Drosophila melanogaster: one gene and its partners. The protein of the gene in region 2 interacts with the protein of the main gene of each other region in a pairwise test. Each region holds a gene or a part of one and is shown on either strand. Other genes may lie near its edges. The genes, in order: Sirt4, CG31626, teq and Dora.

Region 1 (4,507 bases), on a different chromosome or scaffold from region 2:
AGTGAATTAACATTTTGAATCCAATTTTGAATGCAAATTGATTTGCAATTCAGATACGAGATTAAGGAGGACTATTATTTTGACTATTATTATTATGGATTATTATTATTATTATTATTATTATCCATATTATTATGGATAAAAATCAGACTGTTTTTGGGCAGAAAATCAGTATACGATTTTTGGCAAGCCTTCATTATTTGCAAAATGGTTTTTCCTTATAACACCGCTTAAATGGTCATATTGCTAAAAGAATTACTGTTTTGTGTTGCTTATTACCAATGCTAAACATCCATATCACTTTTTGGAAGATTTACAAAATTTTAATTTTTTCAAGATTTTTCATTTTTAGTAAGGGGTAACATCATCAAAATTTGCAAAAATTGGCAAAATTTTAAAATGCCTAAATTTGATTTTCCATCACTTGGGGGTCAAATTACGAGATCAACGAGGTATGACATTCCATTTTTGGACCAAGAATTTCAATGATATGGTTAAGAATCTGACCATTTTGGACATAAAATCAGTAGACGAGTATGTATGATAGAAATTGTCATATATAAAGGATATAATGCTGCTTAAATATGCTAACCATGACCACTACTTAATATAATTATATTATTATTATTATTATTCTTAGCAGTCCTTCGATTTTGCCCATTGTGCGAGGTCTACGCATTGTTTTTCTAGCAGGAATGGACGATTGTCGTAGGAGGGGGGGTAATGAACCGCGTGTGAAAAGTGTCACTGGCCGTGTATGTGTGTGTGCGATGTGTGTTTGTGTGTGCGAGCGGGAGATGCCGATGCCTCAATTGCGGTTCATTTATATGGAGCACTGAGAGCAGCGGCCTGGAGCAAAAACAAAAACATTCAACGGGAGCGAGCGGAAGTGCGCAGCTCTCCCCGGCGCTCCTGCTTCCGCTTCCTGTTGGGATGTGCTGGAATTTCAGAGCACAGGACACTGAGAGAGACAGAGAGGACATGGACTCGGAACCCATGTGCTTGGGGGATGAGCGAATCCTTTTCCCGGAAAGCGTGTCATTGTGTTTCGCTCCAGAGGAGCCTGCGCGAAAATGATCCAAAGGCACAGCCATAAATCAGGAGCTCCGTTGCAACGCTACATTCCATTTGCAAATAGTAATCATTAACATTTATTTTTTAGCTAAAATAGAAAGCCTGGCTTTCCATAACTACAAATTTAGTGGGGGTCAACATATAACAACTGTGAGTATTAACTGACGCTTTTCGAATTGCGAAAGTCGAACAGTTTGGGTATGACATCGCCGCACTTGGCGGATATCTTGATATCCGCCAGGTGATCGGCGCGCGTTTCGCCAATATTAACAATGCCCACCGGTAGCTTGAGGTCCTTGGTCTGCAGGACAACGCGGTAGCCGGAGAAGACCAGGAGACTGGACCCGAGGACAAGCAGGCCATCGCTATTGTACACCATGCCGGCAATCTGATCCACTCGTGGCCGAGGCACAGAATCTCCGAAGAAGACAATTTCCGGCTTCAAGTCGCCGCCGCACTGCGTACACTCGGGTATCCGGAAGTTCTCGATGTACTCCAGCGGTATCTCTACATCGCCATCGGGCCGGATCATGTCGGGGGCATCTTTGAAGGCCGGATTTAGCGACGCCAGTATGCTCTGGAACTCGTGACGATCGATCCGGTACTCGCATGACAGGCACTTGACCACATAGCCACTGCCATGAACCTCCACAACATTTCGGCTGCCCGCCTTCGTGTGCAGCCGGTCCACGTTCTGGGTGACCACCGCCTGGACCCGCTCCTCCCGCTCGAATCTGGCCAGCGCGTGATGCGTGGCATTGGGCTGTGTGGCAGAAAACTTGGGCCAGCCCACAAAGTTCCTGGCCCAGTACCGCTTGCGCACCGCCGACGACTTGACGAACTCCATGTGCTGGACGGGCTTGTGGTTGGAGCGGGCGTAGAGGCCCACGCCTTCGGAACGGTAATCGGGAATCCCTGGAATTTATTTCAAGTTTTTAGACAGCCAGAAATGTTGATTTAAATAAAATACTAATGCGAATCCAAGTATAAGCTAGAAGTCACTTGCATTAGCATTATATAAATAAATGAATAATGTACAAGCTTTTGGAAGTCAATCTGAAATATTTGTGTTAATGGCTTCTGAACATAGAAAAGTCGGAAAATCATGAAACTCACCCGATTCCGTCGAGATGCCAGCGCCCGTGAGAACCAAAACATTCGGTTTGGACAGGAGAAAGTCCTCCAGCCGTTTGATGTCGTCCTCCACGACGGGCTTGTGATGCGGCACGTACTCCTGCCTGGCGGTGGAGCTGCGCAAGCTGGTGCTCCGGAAGCGGAGCAGCTGGCCCACACGCATTGTTTTGTTATGTATTATTGCAAGTAATATTTGGTTCTTTTTCGGTTACGTTACTAGAGGTGAGCGCACGCACATCGATGGCAACTCCTTCAGTCGCTTACCGCTGTAAATCGATTGTATGCCCCGCAATGGCAATCGATAACTGTACGACCCCCATCGATTTTTACACGCCATCAGCCGATAGCAGCTTGCCAGCAGCTACCATCTCTAGAGCAACGGCTGCAGAAAAAAGATATTCTATTCGGTAATTTACGCGTGGATTTATCACGCGCCGTGAACCCAGAAGTTACAGGCCAACCTTTCCGAGATTCGATCAGTGAACCTTGCGGGCGTCCAGCTTCGTAAGCACGAAACAGGACATTCACACACATATTTATCACTCCGTGTGGCGTTTGCGCCCATCCGTGCGTGCCTGTGTGTGTGTGTGTCGCTCGTCTGTGCGTGCGTGAGTGTGTTTGTGAATTGTCGGCTTTAATTTTGCAAGCTCGCTAAAGTTGTGTTTTCAAAGGACATCGCAAAGGAGTCGCAGCGCACAAGATGTCGTACCCGCCGCGGGCGCCCATGCCGCCCTTCATGAATACAGCCATACCGCCGCCGCACGTAAGTCCACCTTTTCTGGGTCACAATCACCATGAAGCTGTCAGAATCTGACGCCAAATCCTTTTCCACCTACTCCATCCGCTTTCAGATAATGCAGAACATGGCCAAGCCGCCGAGGAGCTTCCGTAACTCGGCCACCATTAGTTCACAGCCGACAGTATACCAACGTCCGCCGGAGCCGCAACCACAGTTCCGCGGACCCATCATTACCGTCTTCGTGGGCAACATCAGCGAACGCGTCCCGGAGGCACTGCTCAAACGCATCCTGAACGCTTGCGGCGTGGTAATCAATTGGAAACGGGTGTCCACATTCGGCTTCTGCGAATTTGAGTACGTTCAACCATAAATCGGTCATCCCAAAATCACTTTAGAAGGCTTAGGGCAGCACAAGAAGGTTTCGTTAGTTAAATAACGCTAGAAAAGTAATTGAAGAGCCATTGCATAAACAGCAGCATAACGCATCTCACTCGTTGTTTGATGCGTTTCCTAGAATAGCTTAGCTTATTTATAAAAAGATTGAAATACTTCTAGGAATGCTCCCTACTGCGACAGCTCTTCAAATTCTATATGCGCGATCGAATAACTACTCGAGCACTTTTAAGTAACCTAACTTTAAGCAATACAACACAGGGTTGAGCTTGCATACATTTATGTTTAGAGCCAACGGGCAGTCCACCCATTTGGCTCTCCAATTGTTCCTATAAATACTCTGCCTAACCGCTTTCCTTGGCATTCTTTCAGCGGACCTATTGCGGCAATGCGAGCCGTTCGCCTGCTCAGCGAGATGGAAATCGATGGCAAGAAGCTGGTAGCCAAGGTAGATGCCAAGAACAAGGTTCTCATCGAGGATTACAAGGAGCAGGAGTGCAAGAACGGCGATCGTTCCAACCCAGTGGACGAAAAGACCGAGGACGAGTTCGCCATTGCCCAGATGCACGAATTCCTGGAAGAGCACAAGCACGAGTTCGAAGGATTCGATAGCAGCAGTCGCGCCGATTTGTACGGCAGCGCCAATCGCAATAAGAAGACACGCCGCGAGGAAGACATAAAGATGAAGGTGCTAAGCGAAAATACCCTGGAGGAAGAAAAGCGCAACTTGATTAGCAGCGAGATAGGCAAATTCCGTATGCGTGCGGAGGAAGACGAGCACCGCAAAGAGCTGGAGAAGGAGAAGGAAAAGGAGAAGCTTGCGGCCAGCAAGGAGAAGGAGCGCAAAAAGCAGCGCGAAATGGAGCGAATGTCGTCGACCAGCAAGTCTGGCAGCTCATCGACAGCGGCCGCCAGTTCCTCCAGCGCTACAGCCACCTCTTCGACACCCGCCGCCGATGGGGCTGACATGTCGGATAAGACAGACAAGGAATCAGTCGCTGTTGTGATCAAGGAAACAGTTAAGGAGTCAAAGGAATCTGCCTCCTCCACCGGACGCAAGGAGTCGTCGTCGGCTGCCATCGAGATAACACAGAAGGAGCGCCGCTCTGACTCAAAGGAGACACGTCGCCGCCGCTCCAAATCCCGCTCCAAGGATCGCGAACGGGA
Region 2 (7,285 bases):
TGGACATCAATTATGGGAACATTTTGTTTTTAAGGAAATGAGATCATCTTACCATTTTAAAATACCTAAAAAATTATGGGAACATTTTGTTTTTAAGGAAAGGAGATTATCTTACCATTTAAAAATAACTAAAAGTATTCCAATTGTCCCTTTCTCAGTCTATCAAGATTTTAATGTATTTCCGTTGCTGTGTTGATAAGATTTGTTACCCAAAAGCCAGTTGGGATTTCACGTTTTACTCGTTTTGTTCGACTCACATTCTAGTCACATTTTCATAGAGAATTCGTTTAATTTGCGTGCACATTATGCGTATAACATTTCTTGTGCAATATGTACCCGACTGGAAGCCACTTGATGCCAATCGAGGAAATTATTGCACGACAAATATCGGATTTTTCACCTGTGAATTAATAACGGTAAATTACTCATCCAGCGTCGCGGCGGGCGCACTTGTATGGGTTAACGAGCGAGCAAGCAAGTCAACGAATTCACAATAAAATAAACAAAATGCAGACGCGAAAAATCGACGAAACTTGTTGGAGCTGAAAACGCGGAAACTGTTGCAAGCGAATCGAAACCAGAAAAACTTTTCTGCACACTCTGTCCAATCAGAACAAACACTCGAACTCTTCTCTCCCACACACACTACACCAGCACTCACACGCACAAGTTCTGCTCTTGCACTTGCCTCTTTCTACTGCTTTCTTTGAGTCTTGGGTTTTATTTTACACGACTGCGGCGCTCTTGTTGCGTTTTCCTCACCTTTCGCAGAGTTTATTGACATTTTCAGCGTTCGCTTTGTGCGCTGCTTTCTTCGTGCGCAATCTCTTTTTTCTCTCGCCAGTCTGTTCGCTCTTTCTCTCTTTCCCTTTCTTCTCTCCGCTCACAACACTTGCTTTTTTGTTTACAATGGAACGCTCGCACACACACACTGGTAAACGGGTCACTCACACGCACACAGAATAACCTTCAATTTTATCTTATTGCGCGCGCCCCAGTCACTCGTTATTCTTAAACTTTGCCGAAATTAGGATTTGCTTTGGTTCGCTGCTGCAGCTTTAAATATCAATCAATGTCTTTGCAATGCTGGTGTGGTTAGAAATCCACATTCACCTCGACGCCTCTTCCACACACCCATACACGCAGCCACGGACGACCTTTGCGGTGCGAGCGAGACGACCCGCCACAAAAAACTCCACTTCCGCTCTCTCGTTCACCCGTTGTGCTGACGGCGAAAAGGTTTTCGAATTAAGTACATACATATATTCTTATTCACTTATTCACGGATTTAACTACATATGCCACTGTAGGCGCTACCACTCTTTTTCGCTCACAGCATGAACGGTGTTTTGCGCTCGAATCCGATTCCACAACCGCTCTAGCGATCACACGACGCAACACAGTCCCGCCTGCGACGAAGTAGCAAAATGTTTGTTTTGTTAGTGGAGCTCTCGGTCTGTTAGCGAGCGTTGCCACCTTTCTGCGAGCTGTTGCTGCACACTGCCACTTTACGAACACAGATCTGATAGCGGGACAAAATACGTCAAGGCAGCGACGGTGGGTTACTAGTGAATTTGGAACGGTGGTCTTACGACGTAATGGTCTTTTATATTTTCATTATTTTTTAAATTGTCGCTCATTTACCAATAAACCTTTTTACTTTTTCCTGATAGTCCGAAGTCAGATCAAATAGGAAGTTTCACAAAAAATTTTCATCCAGAGAAAATACGCCGACGCTATTCGAGTTTTTTGTATTCGTTAACCGGGAAAGAATAGTTCGAATTCGTTCGCACTTTATCGATAGTAGATTGCTATTATGGAGCCCACTTGTAAAATAATTTAATTCCAGACTGATAAAAGCGATCAACTTTTGTTAGTGGTTTAAGTCTATGATAATACTTAGTTCAAATTGTTTCAAAGTAGTCGATAATTTATAATAACAGTTTTAGATGACCTCTAGGAAATAACTAATTACCCACATTCTTCAAGAAGTGTTTTCAATTTGTTCTATAATTAAATAACAGTTGTATTAATTATGTAAATATTGTTACTCATAATACAAATTAAACAATATAAACACACATAAATAAGAGAATTGGAATATTTTGTCTCAGATTAGATTTTCCACACGGGAAATTTAAATCACCACGTTTGGTAATATCGTATCGTTTTATCCTAAACGAAACACGCTTATTAATACATAAGCTAATTGTTTTTATACCCGTTACTCGTAGAGTAATAGGGTTTACTAGATTCGTTGAAAAGTATGTAATAGGCAGAAGGAAGCGTTTCCGGCCATATTAAGTATATATTCTTGATCAGGATAAATAGCGGAGTCGAACTGGTCATGTCCGTCTGTCCATATGAACGTCGAGATATCAGGAACTATAAAAGCTAGAAAGGTTGAGCATCGACTCGGCTTAATAAGAATATATTTTATATCTGTTAGACATTTTATCGGATGAATTGTAACAGGTATAATAAACGATTTCTTATATATCGTCAGACATGTGTGTATATTTTGAACGAAACAACTTAAATTAGTTTGTAATGTTATTTTATAAATTCCATCCTAATAAATATTACTGGATTTGCAATGAGTTCCTTAGAACATATTAGTACTCGTGTTTCACTAACCATGTCCATCAAGCTGACACTGCTATGAATGGGTATGTGTGATGGGTATCTGGTGGACAAGCTCTGATCTAAATGGTGTTGTCCATCCCAATAGCACTGACTTGTCTGTAGTCTAAACTGTGAAACACTCCTTTATTACTGAATTCTAGATAAATGTACATACATATGTATACTACGGAGTGGTTGCGAAATCAGAGGCAATCAGATATTGAAGCAAGTTCAAGTGACATACAATGGAATTGGTCGTGTATAGCCGCCTATAAAGACATTAATAGACGACCCCAAAGCTCTCATTTAAGCTTAGCTTTAGTTTTCGGTAGATACAACTTATTAGTGTCAGAGATATTGAGCTTTGGTCGGCCACTGCATTTACATTATTTATTGCGTAATATTTAAATTGATAAATTGCGCATATATGCTAATGCTAAGTCTTCAATCCATATGTTATATTGTATTTTCACGCATTTTTAGATGAAGAAAACATTCTTGACTCGGATCGACTACGATCCACATTGGCATATGTTTGCCGTGCATAATATGGGTATTCTCCATTTAAATGTCTTTGGATGTGGTTAGCTAATTGGTTAATTAAGTGAGACCGCGGGCAGAAAATATCGACGAAAATACATTTTTGTGCAAGACAAGCCAAGCCACGTTTCTCATTTCGAATCGTGGTTGCTGTGTGAATTTTTTAAAATTGGAATTATTAAAACGGATTACGCCTGTTTTATTTACCATTTGCGGCTCCTTCTTTTTCTGTAACAAAAAAATATGACACTGGTGGTTTAAAGTAGGCTAAGCAAATTCGCGATGCCTCATGAATAGGTTTCGCTTAAGTGACAGATGCTTTCAAATGCAGCATTTTTGCATTGGAAATTAAACCATATGCGAGTCTGCGATTAGTAATATATCAATAAGCAGAGCGCCGGGTGAGGGTCGATCGCAAGCGAAAAATGTTTCAAAATGTTTAAATATTTTTGGAACGTTGTCTTTGTGTACGTATTTCTAAAAGTTAGTTACGTTTAAGTATATGGGTACTTTTCTGAGCCCAGTTATCAATCAAAATGTAGGAATCATATTTTCGTAACTATAGGGGACAATAGCTATTAAACGCTTTAGAGGCTGTTTACAAAACAGTGAGGTGTCACAGTCCCGAAAAATGTTGTCTCACGATTGGGCAAAAATGCCCTTATAATGCCCAATCAGATTCAGCTTCAGCTTGGGTGGTTTCCACTCGACCCATAAGTGGGGTAAGTCCCATTTAATATTCAAAATAATAACCCCACATATGTGTGTATATACGTATATAGGTGTGTGTCCGTATTTACAAGTTTTCTGAGGCTAACGCCAAGCTGGTAATCCTTGAGCGCTTGGTCGAGCATGTAGTTTGGTCATTAGCACCGGCTAATAGTTAAACAAACTGATTTCCGCTAACTGCACCGGCGAACGCATATCAGTTGACCTTTGACATTAGCCGGCAGAGGCCCTTTAATCGCTTCGTGGCCAGCTGCCTCGCATGCAAATGAGTGTTGGCGTGTCCCGTGGCCGCTCGTCGGCGGAGTCTCGCGGCCAAGCTGCCCTATTGACATTGCCAAACCCGTCCAAATCCCCCGATATCAACGAGCGGCTGCCGGCGAACTGTCACGGTCTTAACCCCGCGCTGGGCACTAAAAAATTGCATCGAAGACTGCCCGGGCAGTTGGTCTGCTCGGGTTGGGTTTCTTGTGATAATACATTTTACTGTATTAGCATGAACAGTTTTCCAATATATCGAAAACTCCCCTTGTTTTTCTATGCATCTGGGTGTGGTTTCTTTGTTAGAGCTGTCAGTTAATTATAAAAAGTGTGCTCCCATATGAATGCTTGGTCCAAATAATTTAAAAAAAAATAACAGATCTCAACTTTTGCTTTAAGAAACTAAAATACCCTAAGCAAATAACCTTTAAGTAGAATTTAATGTAGTTTAATTAATTAACGACTTAATCATGTATTAAACAAGGCGAATATTATAGTTTTTTTTTTTTTAATTCTCCCTAAACCATATTCAAAACTTGAAAATTAACGTTTCTTAATGTTAATACGTAAGATCAAAGGGAAAAATAAAATAAATATATCTTTGTTTCGTTTTGATCGCCCAACAGCCGCCTCTGGGTTAATGATCACTGCTCCGCTCTCTTCTTAACTGTCTACCTTTTCTTCGACTAGAAGAAGCGCCAGGCCCACACCGAAGACGCGAAGACGGATATCCAGCAATAATAATGGGCCAGACCAAGTTAAGCATGGCTTTTGGTATAAAAGTGCGGGCCCATCTGCAGTTCGACATCATTCAGCTTGAGCGTCTTGCGACAAGAGCTTGCCAAAGCAAATCCAACGAACTTTAAAAGCCCGACCAACAAATCAATAACAATGGTGAGTAAACTGTCCACTGGTCACAACTTCGATCAAGAAAGCCGTTGGCCTTGCTCAACCGCTCGCCTTGGCCAACCGTCAAGATGTCGGGGATCCCGATCGCTCACTTGACCCTTAAATTTCCGCTTATTTTAGAAACTCTTCGTCTTCGCTGTGTGCGCCATCGCCTTGGCCTCCGCCGATGTTTCCCACCTTAACCTGGGCAGTGGTTATAGCTACAACAAGCCCACGCCGACCTTCAACATCCCCTCGGCTCCAGCTCCAGCTTATCTGCCACCCGTTCAGGAGGTGATATCTGCGCCGGCTCCAGCTCCTGTGTACTCTGCTCCTGCGCCTGCTCCTGTTTACTCCGCTCCAGCCCCAGCCCCAGTCTACTCCGCTCCGGCACCAGCACCTGTTTCGGAGTACCTGCCTCCTGTTCAAGACATCCCAGCTCCAGCTCCTGTTTATTCTGCTCCTGCTCCAGCTCCAGTTTACTCTGCTCCTGCCCCAGCTCCAGTTTACTCTGCTCCTGCGCCAGCTCCTGAGTACTTGCCTCCCGTCCAGGACATTCCAGCTCCGGCTCCAGCTCCCGTTTACTCCGCTCCTGCACCTGCTCCTGTTTACTCCGCTCCAGCCCCAGCTCCAGTCTACTCTGCTCCCGCACCAGCACCCGTTTCGGAGTATCTGCCTCCTGTTCAAGACATCCCTGCTCCCGCCCCAGTGTATTCTGCTCCTGCGCCAGCTCCGGTATACTCTGCTCCTGCCCCAGCTCCAGTTTACTCTGCTCCTGCGCCAGCTCCCGAGTATTTACCTCCCGTCCAGGACCTTCCCGCTCCTGCGCCCGCTCCAGTTTACTCTGCTCCTGCTCCAGCTCCAGCTCCAGTTTACTCGGCTCCTGCTCCCGCTCCAGTTTACTCTGCTCCTGCTCCAGCTCCAGTTTACTCTGCCCCAGCTCCCGTGGAGTCGGGCTACCAGTACAATGTGCCTGCCAAGCGTTTCCGCTTCTAAATGGACATCAGGTGGATTCCAAAGAGTTCCGCAGCCATTTGAGTGGTGACAGCTTGTTAAATTAACAAGTGCCGTCGCCCATTGTTGTTGAATATTTGTTGTTACGCAAAGTTCCCGTTGAGATTTTAGCTAATAAAAAAATTACAAAACAAAAAATATAAGCTCGCTGCAAAATTGAAATGGACGAACGGGTCCAGTGTTCCGCGGTTTCGCTGTCCCTTTTAAAAACGAGTATTTAAATTTAGCACCATAAAGCCTTTAGAGACGCGATCTGCCGGCTTACGTAGCGTTTACCGAGCGGTTTCAACAACGGCAGGTTATACAAAGATGACCTGAGGTGTAGGCCATAACTGCGTTGGCAAATTTTCGCAAAGAGATGTCGTTAACGCTAGCCACTCAACGAATAAATTTAGCGAATATGAGAGAAATCTGAAAAATGTGGCACAGTTTCAGTTCTACTTAAATAAATGGCTTGGGAAGAATAGTCGTTTTAAGTGGTAGCCGTTTTAGTATAAAAGTCAATCTTTTTGAGTTAAAACCATTGTATGAAGACTAGAATATCATATTTAATACTTTGTAGTCATAATGATATTTTGAAATTCCAATTTCGCTTGTTCCCTTATGCAAAATTCAAATGTTTCCCCTTATTAAAATTGATATGAGGTCCAAATTGTCCCAAATTTTAACTTCCACACCTTCACCGCTCTCTCTCACCAGGATCACTTAATTCTACAAGGACTTTCACGCAGTCTAGCTTTGCTATTTTACATTTTTTGGGCATATCAAATGGGAAAGCGCCATTGTAACCAATGCTAACCTTTGTTGGGCGCTGTTAAAAATCTATCCTCTTTTAATTAATTTCATTATAAGGCAATAGAAAACATCGAATTTCAAATACTTTCCACTAATAATAAATAGTTTTATTGTGAACATTATGTTTTCGCCCTTTTTTGATTTAGTACCATCTTCTTAACGTTATAATGGATACGCAAGTCAATCTTTTTAAGTATGCACTGCATAACTGGTTTACTTACATAATTTTGTAATTAACTCAATCTATATATTTATTGACTATATATATTTATGATCATAAGTTTATCTTATATTCGTATAATTATAATGGTATGTATAATTAATAACTTACTTTTATTGCGTTAGGGCTCAAATCATATAGAGCTAAATTAAAATACTAAAAGTAGTTGATGCTTGATTTAGCTAAACTGTAACAGCACATAAAGGGAACTAAGTT
Region 3 (5,682 bases), on a different chromosome or scaffold from region 2:
CAATTTAAAATGCCAAATTAGAGTGACCGTCGCACGAGGTCGCAAATATGCCAAGACCAAGAAAACAAATATGAATACAAGCACAATTTTATCTTAAGCATATACGTATGAAATTAAACGTCAATTAAAAAACAATTTATGCACTTAAATTAGGTCTAGCCATTTTAAGTAAGCCGAGATAATTATTAATTTAGAAATTTCAAAGTGAGTAAAAATGCAAAGGAAATAAAAGTGTTGCTGTCGTATAAAATGACTGTATAAATTTTGTTATTGTTCTCTTATCAACGATTAAATGATTTCAAATTAATAACTGCATTTCAATGTTTCCTAATTTCGGATAGCAAAAAAAGCATCGTAAGTTAAGGGTTAATGCAACTACAATGCCTAGCTACGGCCACACTGATTGAAGCCGTGTTATGGTAACAATCAGCTGTTCACAATGATAACAACTCGCACTGCTGATTCTATATAGTTGTTTACGTTGATTATTAGTTTTATATTAATTAAAAATGTCAGCTTTGCTTCTTTTACGCACCTGTAGAAGTTCATCAATTGCTGGCATCTACAAATACACATACCAAGGAACAACTATTGCGAATCACACATGCAATCATCGTCTGTCGTCTACAGAAGCGGCGGCCGCGAGTGTCCAACTGGCAAATGCCGGTGGATTGGTGGGATATTGGCAGACCTTGTCCAACAGCACGCCGGTGGCCTATATGCAGGATGTTCTCATTAAGATCCACGACTACAGTGGCCTGCCCTGGTGGGCGTCCATCGTGCTGTCCACTTTCCTTTTTCGGAGCGTGGTCACCCTGCCTCTGACCATTTACCAGCACAAAATCACCGCCAGAATTGAAAAGATAGCGCTGGAGATGCCGGCCATTGTGGAGGAACTGAAAAAAGAGGCAGCCATGGCCAAGCACAAGTTCAAGTGGAGCGAAAAGCAGACTCAGATTGTTTATCGGCGTTCGGTTTGTTAAAATTCAAATGTTTGCGAGACACTCTTCGTCATGTCAATTATCTTACAGATCAAGAAGCAGTGGCAGAACCTTATAGTTCGGGATAACTGCCATCCCATGAAGACCATGATTGTGCTATGGGGTCAGATTCCCCTGTGGATCTTTCAATCCGTGGCTCTGCGCAATTTAGTGTACATGCTGCCGGATCCCACGTCCATTCAAGCTCAAATCGTGACCACCGAAATGACCATTGGCGGATTTGGTTGGATACCAAACCTTACGGTGGTGGATAACTCTTATATCCTGCCTGTAGCATTAGGTCTTATCAATTTGGCCATCATTGAAGTGCAAGCCATGTCTAGAACTCGTCCTTCTACACGCTTGCAGAACATCGCCAACAATGTGTTCCGTGGATTGAGTGTTGTGATGGTTCCAGTAGCCTGTACAGTGCCTTCAGCTTTATGTGTATACTGGGTAGCTTCCAGCAGTTTTGGCCTTGCTCAAAATCTGCTCATCCTCTCGCCGGAAGTGCGACGATCTGTGGGAATTCCCAAAACACAAACGGAACTCAGTGAGCCGTACGATCTGCTCTGGCTAAAAATACAGCAGAGGCTAAGACTTGCCGAGAGGGCGCCGGCTGATAAGCCGGCAGCCAAATGATCTAGTCTCTTAGTCATAATCACCTAGTCTAATTTGGGTATGACGTTTAGTTTGTTTAAATGCGACTGCGCCACTGTAATTCATCATCATCATTCTTAAGCTCCAACATCTCAGATTCATAGAAGTAAATAAATGAGTGAAAAACCCCAAAAGAAATGCAAACAAAACAAGGCGATAAGACAGCAAAAAGGTCTTGAGATTACAAGCCCTGATAGTGTGGTCCACTCAATTGGTTTGGCGACAAACGAGAGCATCTATCAGCGGCGGCAGAGATAGAGATTCATCCCGAGTCCAATTGAATTGAAATGCGATCTGGGTGTGGGTCAGTCGAGCCTGGAATTCGAACGGGATCACAACGAAGAATTTAAAGCGCGAGAAAAACAATTGTGTAGTTGCTATCAGCATCGGTGCATTTTAAGAAATATTTAAATTCAAATACTTATAAAGCGGAAACGTAAAATGATGGCCAAGTGGCTCCTTGGCCTTTGGCTGGCGATCCTGCTAGTGGATGTTAGTGTAGAAAGTTTATTAATAATTTCAAATTGTGTTTTTTAAGGATATCATCTAGATTCTAGATTATTTACAATTTTTTAAGATTTTAGTCAAACTAAAAATGTTGTTTAGGAATTTAAAACGCGCTTAAGACTTTAATTTTAATTGAACTTAATTACAAGCTATTAGCTAAATTTTGCCTCTAATTACTTACGGTTGTTCAATAATATTTCATAATTGCGCTTTTGACAGCGACCCGGGGCTAAAGCTTATCGATCAGGCAGTGGCTACCACAGCGAGCAGTCGGAACCAGTTGGCTTATCAGCAACAGGGAACGCACACTCGAGTTACGGAGGCGACCAGCAGCAGCCTATTTACCATCGGGATTCGGCATGCCCGCCGCATTTTACGGGTCTGGTTGCATATCCCCACGACTGTCATCGCTATGTGAACTGCTTCGATGGCAGCCCCACCATTCAGACGTGTTCGCCCGGAACTCTGTTCAATGACAGGACCCAGGTGTGCGATCATCCCAGCAATGTGGTTTGCCCTTCAGCGGAATCTGCATCTACTCGACTGGGAAGACTTAGGCAATTAGATAGTGAACCCAAGTGTCAACCGGGAGTGAATGGATTGCAACCGCATCCTTCGGATTGCAGCAAGTTTCTTAACTGCGCCAATGGTCAAGCTTTTATTATGGACTGCGCACCAGGAACTGCTTTTAGTCCAGCATCACTGGTATGTGTGCACAAGGATTTGGCCAAATGCGGATCGGGAACTGGAGCAGTACGAGATGATACCTCCGGCACCGGTACGTATGAGTGATTTAAATACAAAAATCTTGACTAACACTCGGTTAGGCTACCCTGCGTTGCCTTTTGATGACTTGGGCTGTCCACCCGGTACACGTGGGCTTCGTCCACATCCGCACGACGTGCACAAGTATTTGAGGTGCGGAATTGGGGTTAAGCCTCAGGTGGAACAGTGTCCACGGGGCCACATCTTCGATGGCTCCTCTTCGGTATGTGTGTATTCTGACTCCCCTCGGACCTCCTGTAAGTGTCATTTCATTTCTTATCCCTACTGCTTGGCCTCGCTTGATTCATCTGCTTTTTCATTTCGGGTTATTTTCTCATATTACGCTGTACACGCTTTGCTTGCCTGCTTAGTTGATAGACTCTAATCCTGATCCCTTTGAATTGTAACAGCTTCCTCCTTCACGTCGGCTGAGATTCAGGTCAACTATCTCTTGTGTCCAGTGGGAGCCGTTGGCCAATTTGTTCATCCCTTTGATCAAACAAAATTCCTTAGTTGTAAGGATGGTAAATCGGCTGTGCAAAACTGCCAACCTAATTATGTGTTTAGCATATCGAGGCGCTACTGTCAGTTAAAAGCACAATTAGCCTTTACCGACTATGTCACATTAATTATCTCCGAAATCAGCTATGAGTATTGTAAGTTACTTTATCATCACTGTACACTAGAATTTATGATAATATTTTACTAGCACTTATCCTTAATGCCTGTCCTGGTAACATCAACGGCATCTTCTTGTATCCCTACGATGCTAAAAAGTACGTTCAGTGCTCGTCTGGTGGCAGAATGTCCATCCTAAGTTGTGGCCCCCAGATGGCATTCAGTGTATCCCAAAGAAGTTGTCTTCCAAGTCATCAAGTGCACATATCTGATCGGGTGCAGTTCTGGCAGGAAGTCCAAGTTCAGACCACTTATACTTCTCAAGACTTACGGGGAAATGTTCAAAGCCAGCTGTCTTCACTTAGATCGTGTCCACCCAATGTCCAGAAGAATTACCCTTATCCATTCCATGCTGGCCACTATGTCAGGTGCCAATATGGAGCATTAGAGATCATATGCTGTCCCACTGGACAGCTTTACAGCCTCTCCCAGCGTCAATGTGTGCCTCGTAGCCTTCTCTCTGCACATGATTACTTGGATTACTCCTATATCAGTGCTGAACTTTCCAGTAAGCATCTCAAGGAATCTTGATGACTTGGACTTGATTTCAGACCACTTTTTCGTTTACAGCTGAGTTTATGGTGGATCGTTCGACGCTTTCTTGTCCTCCACAAGCACAGGGACTCTATCTGCATCCCTTCGATTGCACCAAGTATGTCAGGTGCTGGAATCAGCAGACCTTCATTGAGAGTTGTGTAGTATGTGCCTATGCAATATTAAGAACAATTAAATAAAATAGCATATTAACTTATGGCAGCACTTTGTTGCTATGTTTATGTTTATGTTTATGCACGCAGTTAGGCCAGGGCGGATGTAACATGATCACCCACTCGAAGGCCACAAAGTATAAGTGCATTGCCCACTCGAAGGCAAAAAGTATAAGTGCATGGTCAGCATTCACACGCCGACCAAATACATATTACATACGTACATACATATCTCGCTCTCCCGATAAGCCTAGATATATAAGATATACATAAGAACGCCGCTCCGCTGCTGGCGTACCCGGCAGCGCAGCTACGCGGATTAGCCTAAGTCCAAATATATAAAAAACTGTAAAATCGGAGAGACTCTGTAGACGTTGAGCTGACAGAACCATTTCTGCCTACTCTAAAATCAAAAGAAGAAATTGAATAAATATATGTCAGCCCGACGGCTGCCTTCAACTTAAAACGGACTTGTGTTCTTAATTGGAGTTCATCATTACATGGCGACCGTGACAGTCGTCCAACGCTGGACGAATTGACCAAAGCTGGTGAAAACAAAGGAACAAAGGAACACTGGACTGGAAGAAGACTGGACTAATTAAATGGAACTGCAAAAACCAAGGAAAAATCTGAGTGAGTAGAGTTCTATTGAGTATGGGCAAACACCGTGGCGGTTTGAAAACTAAGCTGAATAAACGTATAGCCCACGTAAGGTGGCTAATATACGGTCAGCAAACGCCACCGGTTTGGTCGAAAGCTCTAAAGCTACATGCAGAGCTAGACCACTTGTTGCAATATCAGCAAGAATTAAAGACCCATAAGCTCGAGAAAACTCACTCAGATAATATTAAAAATATACCCACAATTAATGAAGTTCCAAAATACCAGGCATGTCCAGCACCAGCACCAGCATTAACAAAACCAAAGAAGTCCTGCCCCCCTGGCTGCGAAGGAATCTGGAGTCCCCACTGCCTGGGGACTTGTGAGCGACCATCGACGTCTTCAGCGGCGAAGAAATAGACAGCAGCGAGGGAGTGTCAGCGTGCCACCCCCGGCGACGCCCAGCTGACACCTGATGAGCATCATCAACAGCAGAATATAATAATAAATATATATAAATATAAAGTAAATATAAAATATATATAGATAAGAAAAATTGTAAGAAATATTGTAAAACGGAGCATATACTATTATGCCCTGTTAACCCAATATGGCCCGTGAAGCCATAGCTAGAATCAGGCAGGCAACAATGTAAAATACAATTTTTTTTTACTCTTGCGAACATTGAAAGATTTTATAAATAGATAATTCCAAACATAAATGTCTATAGAGACAAATGAAATAAGTAAAACTGAAAATAAAAGTATATACAAAGGAAATTTTCT
Region 4 (5,749 bases), on a different chromosome or scaffold from region 2:
ATATACATAAGCCTTCAATCGCATCAGAAGCCGTTGACAATTGTGGATCAAATCAATGGGCTTCTTCCGTTTCAACTATCTGAAGAACTACCATATCTGGGGAGCCACAGCAAACGGGGCGGAGGAGCTACAAGGTGCGATGGGAATAATGGACTCTCCTCCGTGTCGTCGTCGTCGTCGTCCTCGTCTTTATTTTTATTACATCCCCTTGGGCAGGTTGTGGTGGTATCCTTGAAAAGGTTCTTTGACACAACAAAGCGAGGCTCTCGTCGCCTCAGCATCGACGTCGAAGTCGACGTCAGCGTGTTCAGCTGGCAGCAGCGACATCGTTTTGAGGCAATATAGTTTTTTGATGCGGTTATTATGTCTTTCGAGCATGAAAATGCAGCTGGCTTCGCCACTACACACACACAAACCCAGTCGCAGGGCTAGCTCTTTGGCTATTTTCCCGCCAAAATCGAATAGCTTAAGCTACTATCTATTGGTCCTTTAGGTTTACAAACCAACAGCATATGAACAAATAGATATTTGGCTAACTCCTCTGTTTATAGGAAGTAAAAGATTTGTATAACATAACAGAAAGATAAAAATGATTAAGATTGAGCAAAGTTCAGCTAGTTTTGCCTAGTACATATACTATATTTTGTAATACTAGTGCTTAGTATCAATAAATATCAATAAAATCAACAAGCTGGTAACCCTGGCTATCAAAGAATCCACAAAGAAGACAACTGAATGGTTGGAGGTTCTTTGGCGGCTTTGCCGCTCTGTTTAGTCCTTTGACCCTTCCAAATATAGTCCTGTTTCCCCCCACAGCAACACTGCTCAGTCAAACAAAGGAAAATAAGCAAACGAATGCAGTGGATGGGCAAATGACGAAGACGAATGGAGGATACGAAAGAGAAACAGCGACGAGGACGAACTGCGCAGTCGCAGCCAGATATCCAGATATTACATGATGATAGTGCTGTGCGGCGGCGCACAGGATACAGAAAACGTGTAAGGAACGTCTCTTGGCAGGCCCGAAACAAAAAAAAAAAACAATACCCCAGCCACATGCACAAGCGTAATGAGCCACAGGGAAAGACAAAGGGACGCAACAAAAAGGTAAAAAGGAAACTCGTATAAACGAATGAAAATAAAAAACGTTGGCAGCCAAAGTCGTGATTTTGACTTCAGCGATAAGCAGAGGACTTCGAGGAAATGCGGGGAAACGAAGAAGACAATTGCAGACAGAGGGCAACAACAATTACAGCCTGCTCGTTGTTGTGCCTAAGTCAATTTTACAGAATTTACCAAAAGCGAAAAGGTCATGCGTATAATTACAGGCAGCACAGTGTAGCCATATTGCAAATAGCCAAATGCGACCAAGCTAGTAAAACATAGAACTAAAGCATATCACTCTACTTAGCTTAAAAAGTAAATTGTGTAGCAAGTAATTGATTATTTAACGCTATACGGATATAAATCTGTATAAAATGTACATGTAAGTTTCTCATTGTAAAGGGAAAGTTATAGGTATAAACTATTTTGGTTGCCTTATGGTTTTAAAAACAATTAAGGAAGTCAATATCTTTTGTATGCGACATATGAAAGCTTCTTATGAGAAAGTCTTTCTTAATTCCTGAATAAAAGAGGATACTTTTTTGATATCTTTAGGACGCACACTTTTCGAACTCTAAAAACTGTCAATGTTGTACAATGTTTTTCGGATTTTAAGAAGCTCTCTTCAGTTTAGATTTGTATCTGTGATTTTCACAACTGTAGTTTCACTGGTGTAATGCTCAATGGTCCGGGTACACTGCCCTAAATCCCGCCCTAGCAACAAGGAGATGCTACTCACCATAATGTCTGCCGCAGGTGGATGTGTTGGCCATGGCCGTTCCATTGCCGCCCGGTGTGCAGGAACCAGAGGCTCCTGCTCCTCCGAACGGCGGTGCTCCTGAGCCGCCGGCCACAGCCATACCGCCCATGCCGCTCAAGCCGCCATTGCCTGCGCCGCTGCCTGCAGCGGGCTTCTTCCAGCCGCGCCAGTTGTTGCACAGCGATTCCGGTTCAGAGCTCCAGCTGCAGAGGGAGTCTTCCTCGAAGCGGATGGAGTCGTCGAAGCTGAAGCGGTCCATTTCCTCCGGATTCCATTCGTTGGCCGCTGCTCCTGCAGCGTCTCTGCCCGCCGCTCCGGCTCCTGCGCCGCCTCCTGCTGCTCCTTCGGCGCCAGCGCCGACTGCAGCCGCTCCTCCGCCTCCTCCATTGTTGTTGTTGTTACCGCCGCCTCCTCCTCCTCTGTTGTTGTTGCCGCCGTTGCGATTCGCCAGCGTGAGGCTGAGATTGTGTGTGTTTACAGTTGCTCCTTCTACTGCTGAAGCTGATTCTTGTTCTTCTTCTTCAGCTGCTCCCCCGTTTGTTTGTTTTCCTCAGCTTCCTCTTCCTCCGTCTCTCTCACTGTTACTCTCCTCTCTTTTTGGATGGATGTATATGTATAATGGATCTCTGCCAAACGCTCAATTTAAAATCGTGTAAAAGGCGAATTTCTCTTGAGCGTTCTTCTCTTCCTCTTTTCTCTCTCGCTGTGTTCCTCTCCTTCGGTTCTCCCCTTTCAAACTCAAGCACACTGCCGGACTCGCTTGCTTTTAATTAACTTATTAACTGTAGATTTATGCTTAGGGCTCTAAGTTTCCCTTTTAGACTTAACTTTAGGTTTAGATTTAGATTTTGGGGAGTTTAAAAACTATTTTTGTTTATATGTACAAAATACGTTCAGTGCGCCGCGGTCTCTGTCGCTGCCTCTGCCCGCGTCGACTGCGACTGCTATTGTTTGTTGTCGTTGTTGTTGCATGTGAACTTTTTCGTATCCCCCAACGAACGAGAGAGCGAGATGGGGCTATGCTATGCGACTGCCGAAATAAGAGGGCCAATTTGTAGTTGTAGTTCTTGTTGTTGATGTTCTTGCTTCTGTTATTATTGTTGATGTGGTTCTTGCTGTTGTTGTTGATTTTGCAGGGGACCCCCAGTCGTTGTTATTGTTGTTAACGCTCCTCTTTTATCCGCTCTGCGCTTTGCAGTCCGCTTTGCCGTTAATTATTTTTTCACTCCTTCGCTTTGTGGCTCATCTTCGCTTTATCCTGCGCGCACCGCACTCACTCTTTCTCGCTCGCCCTCACTCACTCACACAGCAGTAGCAGCAGCAACAACAACGTTGCACACAACATCAATATATTGGATATATATCAACACTTTTTCGCCTGCGTGCTTGTCAGTGTGTGTGTGCATGCGTGCGCTTGTCGATTTTCACTGCCTTCTTTTCTTTGTGTGTGTATATGCGCTGCGCGTTGTGTTTGTCTGCGTCTGTGCGTGTGTTAGGTTTACGTGTGTGTGTGAGTGAACGAACGAAATGCGTTTAGCGAACGTTTTTTTAAAAAATCCTTAAATTTTTTGTGGATTTTGGCGATTACCGACACTTAAAACGGCACTGCACACGCGTCCCCGAAAACAACGGCACCTAGATTCGCTGGCCGAGTTACGATTTGTTTGATGCTACGCACGGTTTTCGGACACTTTTACACGGGGCTTTGTTTTTACCCATCGCATCGTCGACTCTTTTGCTCCTAAACGTTGTTGGTGTTAGTGGTCAGCGATAGTGCTCACACACTCGATATGGGTTTTCGATCATTTTCGGCTGAATATTCGATAAGGTCAATAGTATCGGTTTTCCGCGTACGATTTCCCAGTTTTCAAATGACGGTCACACTGACATTCATTCTTGACAATCGATAGTTTTTGTCGAGTGACGCTCTTAATATCGAAAAACCATAAGTAACGATAGGCCCATTTTGTTGGTGGTGTTCACAATCTTCTCGCGCTTTCCCAGGAACTGGTCAAGATGCCCATCGCCGGGCTGTGCATCGAACTGCGCCCGAACCTACGCAGCGGCGTGGTCTTCCTGCGATTCGACCAACAGGTTTCGCAGAGCCAGAAGACTCGCGTCGTCGTCCGCGACTACAATGTTTATATCAGCGAGAAACCTAAGAATCAGGCAATCGACTTGGATTCCAGCTCCGAAAGCGACAGCGAGGACTCCGACAAGCTGATGCTCATCCGGCACGCGCAGTATGGTATGGACATTGTCTGCCTGTCCACGTTCTTGGTCAGTGGCAGGAACATCAGTTTCCGCTTCAACTACAACCAGATTGATCTGGCCAGCGTGGATGGAAGCGCTGTGGACGTGCCTCTGGCGCCACTACTCCTCTCCTGCCAGGAGAACGAGCCCATCACTATCAACTGTCGTGATTGCCGAGCGGAATTGGTGGCAGGCCGAAGCTATCGCAGGTTGAGGGAGTTTCCCAGCCTCTTGGTGGATCCCACTGAGTTCTTTTGCCACAATCATGGACCAGCGGGCAAGACCCAACCAATTAGCTTAGTGCCCGCCGAAACGGATCTTTTCTATGGCCTCAACTATGTGGTCATCAACTTTAACGAAGAAAGTTCGTGCATGCTCAATCGCGACGATCACTTGTACTGCCAGCGCTGCATGCGTTATTTGGGGCTGACCATGTTCGATGGCGCCGCCGCTCGCATCTGGGCTGATGCAGTACGTTGGCGTCCCGCAGGAGCGGCGACAAATGCCCCCGATCGCCACTTCTTCCAAAACTCCACGCTAACGCAGCTTTTCAAGCGTCTGCTGCACTCGCTGTGGCCTCAACCGTTGCCTCAGCTCTGTTTGAACACCAGTCGTGCGGTGCTGGTCACCTCGCTGCCCAACCGAAATCAGCAATACATGTTTTTGCACGTGGTGGAGTCACAGCTGCGTGTGCTGCGTCGCATTCGCCCAAATTCGAACCGACTACGCTGCTTTCGCGCCTGCAAGCTGTACTACGGCGTTTTTGGAGCCAATCCGCCGCTGCTGGAGAAGTGGCAGGCGCAGCAGACGCTGCCCCAAATGGATGTATCACCGAACATGTTCCTAAAGATTCAGAAGCGCCTCGAGACGAATGGCCACTTGATTCCGGACGCCTTGAGCACGAACTGTGCGGAGGAGCACCTGCAGTTGTCGTACTTCTTTTATGAGAACGAGGATCAACACGACGGCGGGGTCGTCGCTTCGGATGTGTTTACGGATCAAATGAGCAACGTGTATCAGAAGGAGGTGGATCCGTACGAGACGGATGCAGGACATGCCAGCGAGAGCGATGACGAGTACTCGGATACGGACACCGCTTCGGGGGACACGGCGGCTTACTCGCTCGGCATGCGTACCCTGCAGAAACGCAGCCCCACTCCGCCGCGGTCTTTCGCCAAAATGGCCACCTCCGCCTCGCCGGAGGACAAGTAGTGACCCAATCCGATTCAAAAATCAAGCATAGCTTGTATGTCGGAAACTATGTTACTTGTTTTCACTATACAAAGACGGACTTGGCCCAATAATTTGTCAAAGATATTTTTTTTTTAAAGTTAGCCCTTGATTGATAATCAATTCCATCCAAAATACTTTACTATGCCTTTGATTCAAATCCTCACATCCTTTGCTTTTGTTTATCGTTATACATTCGCTTAGAATGAATTAACAGTACGCGGAATTGATAACGCCAAAGACTATTTATTGTTTTGTGAAGAAAATTTTGATTTTATTGCTTGACTCGATCGTTATATATATATATGTATATTATATATAGTTTAACAAACGTTTTGCAACAAGTATTAGCTGGATAAACGACTTCTATATATATGTATGTACTAGCACAAATGCAGTGCG

What was found.
Region 1: the proteins of CG31626 (region 2) and Sirt4 interact in a two-hybrid assay, tested with the Drosophila melanogaster proteins (one large-scale study listed by BioGRID).
Region 3: the proteins of CG31626 (region 2) and teq interact in a two-hybrid assay, tested with the Drosophila melanogaster proteins (one large-scale study listed by BioGRID).
Region 4: the proteins of CG31626 (region 2) and Dora interact in a two-hybrid assay, tested with the Drosophila melanogaster proteins (one large-scale study listed by BioGRID).

The regions. Positions count from the first base shown.
Region 1 is NC_004354.4:5,663,498-5,668,004, forward strand, and holds Sirt4 (sirtuin 4), read right to left. Parts: upstream 2,444-4,507; 5' UTR 2,372-2,443; coding exon 2,191-2,371; intron 2,131-2,190; exon of another isoform or gene 1,990-2,130; coding exon 1,232-1,989; 3' UTR 1,131-1,231; downstream 1-1,130. Other genes in the region: CG4119 (uncharacterized protein), read left to right, coding at 2,909-2,971, 3,060-3,301, 3,713-4,507. UniProt on the Drosophila melanogaster protein: NAD-dependent protein deacylase. Catalyzes the NAD-dependent hydrolysis of acyl groups from lysine residues.
Region 2 is NT_033779.5:21,231,396-21,238,680, reverse strand, and holds CG31626 (uncharacterized protein), read left to right. Parts: upstream 1-1,947; 5' UTR 1,948-2,037; intron 2,038-4,645; exon of another isoform or gene 4,646-4,778; 5' UTR 4,779-5,043; coding exon 5,044-5,046; exon of another isoform or gene 5,047-5,181; coding exon 5,182-6,036; 3' UTR 6,037-6,186; downstream 6,187-7,285.
Region 3 is NT_037436.4:9,072,698-9,078,379, forward strand, and holds the start of teq (tequila), read left to right. Parts: upstream 1-1,945; 5' UTR 1,946-2,081; coding exon 2,082-2,132; intron 2,133-2,366; coding exon 2,367-2,925; intron 2,926-2,974; coding exon of another isoform or gene 2,975-3,169; intron 3,170-3,322; coding exon of another isoform or gene 3,323-3,568; intron 3,569-3,621; coding exon of another isoform or gene 3,622-4,098; intron 4,099-4,160; coding exon of another isoform or gene 4,161-4,324; exon of another isoform or gene 4,325-4,759; intron 4,760-5,682. Other genes in the region: CG4942 (uncharacterized protein), read left to right, coding at 510-974, 1,032-1,622.
Region 4 is NC_004354.4:18,861,814-18,867,562, reverse strand, and holds the start of Dora (dorado), read right to left. Parts: upstream 3,614-5,749; 5' UTR 2,124-3,613; coding exon 1,844-2,123; intron 1-1,843. Other genes in the region: CG7326 (uncharacterized protein), read left to right, coding at 3,881-5,329. UniProt on the Drosophila melanogaster protein: Substrate recognition component of a SCF-like E3 ubiquitin-protein ligase complex that promotes target-directed microRNA degradation (TDMD), a process that mediates degradation of microRNAs (miRNAs).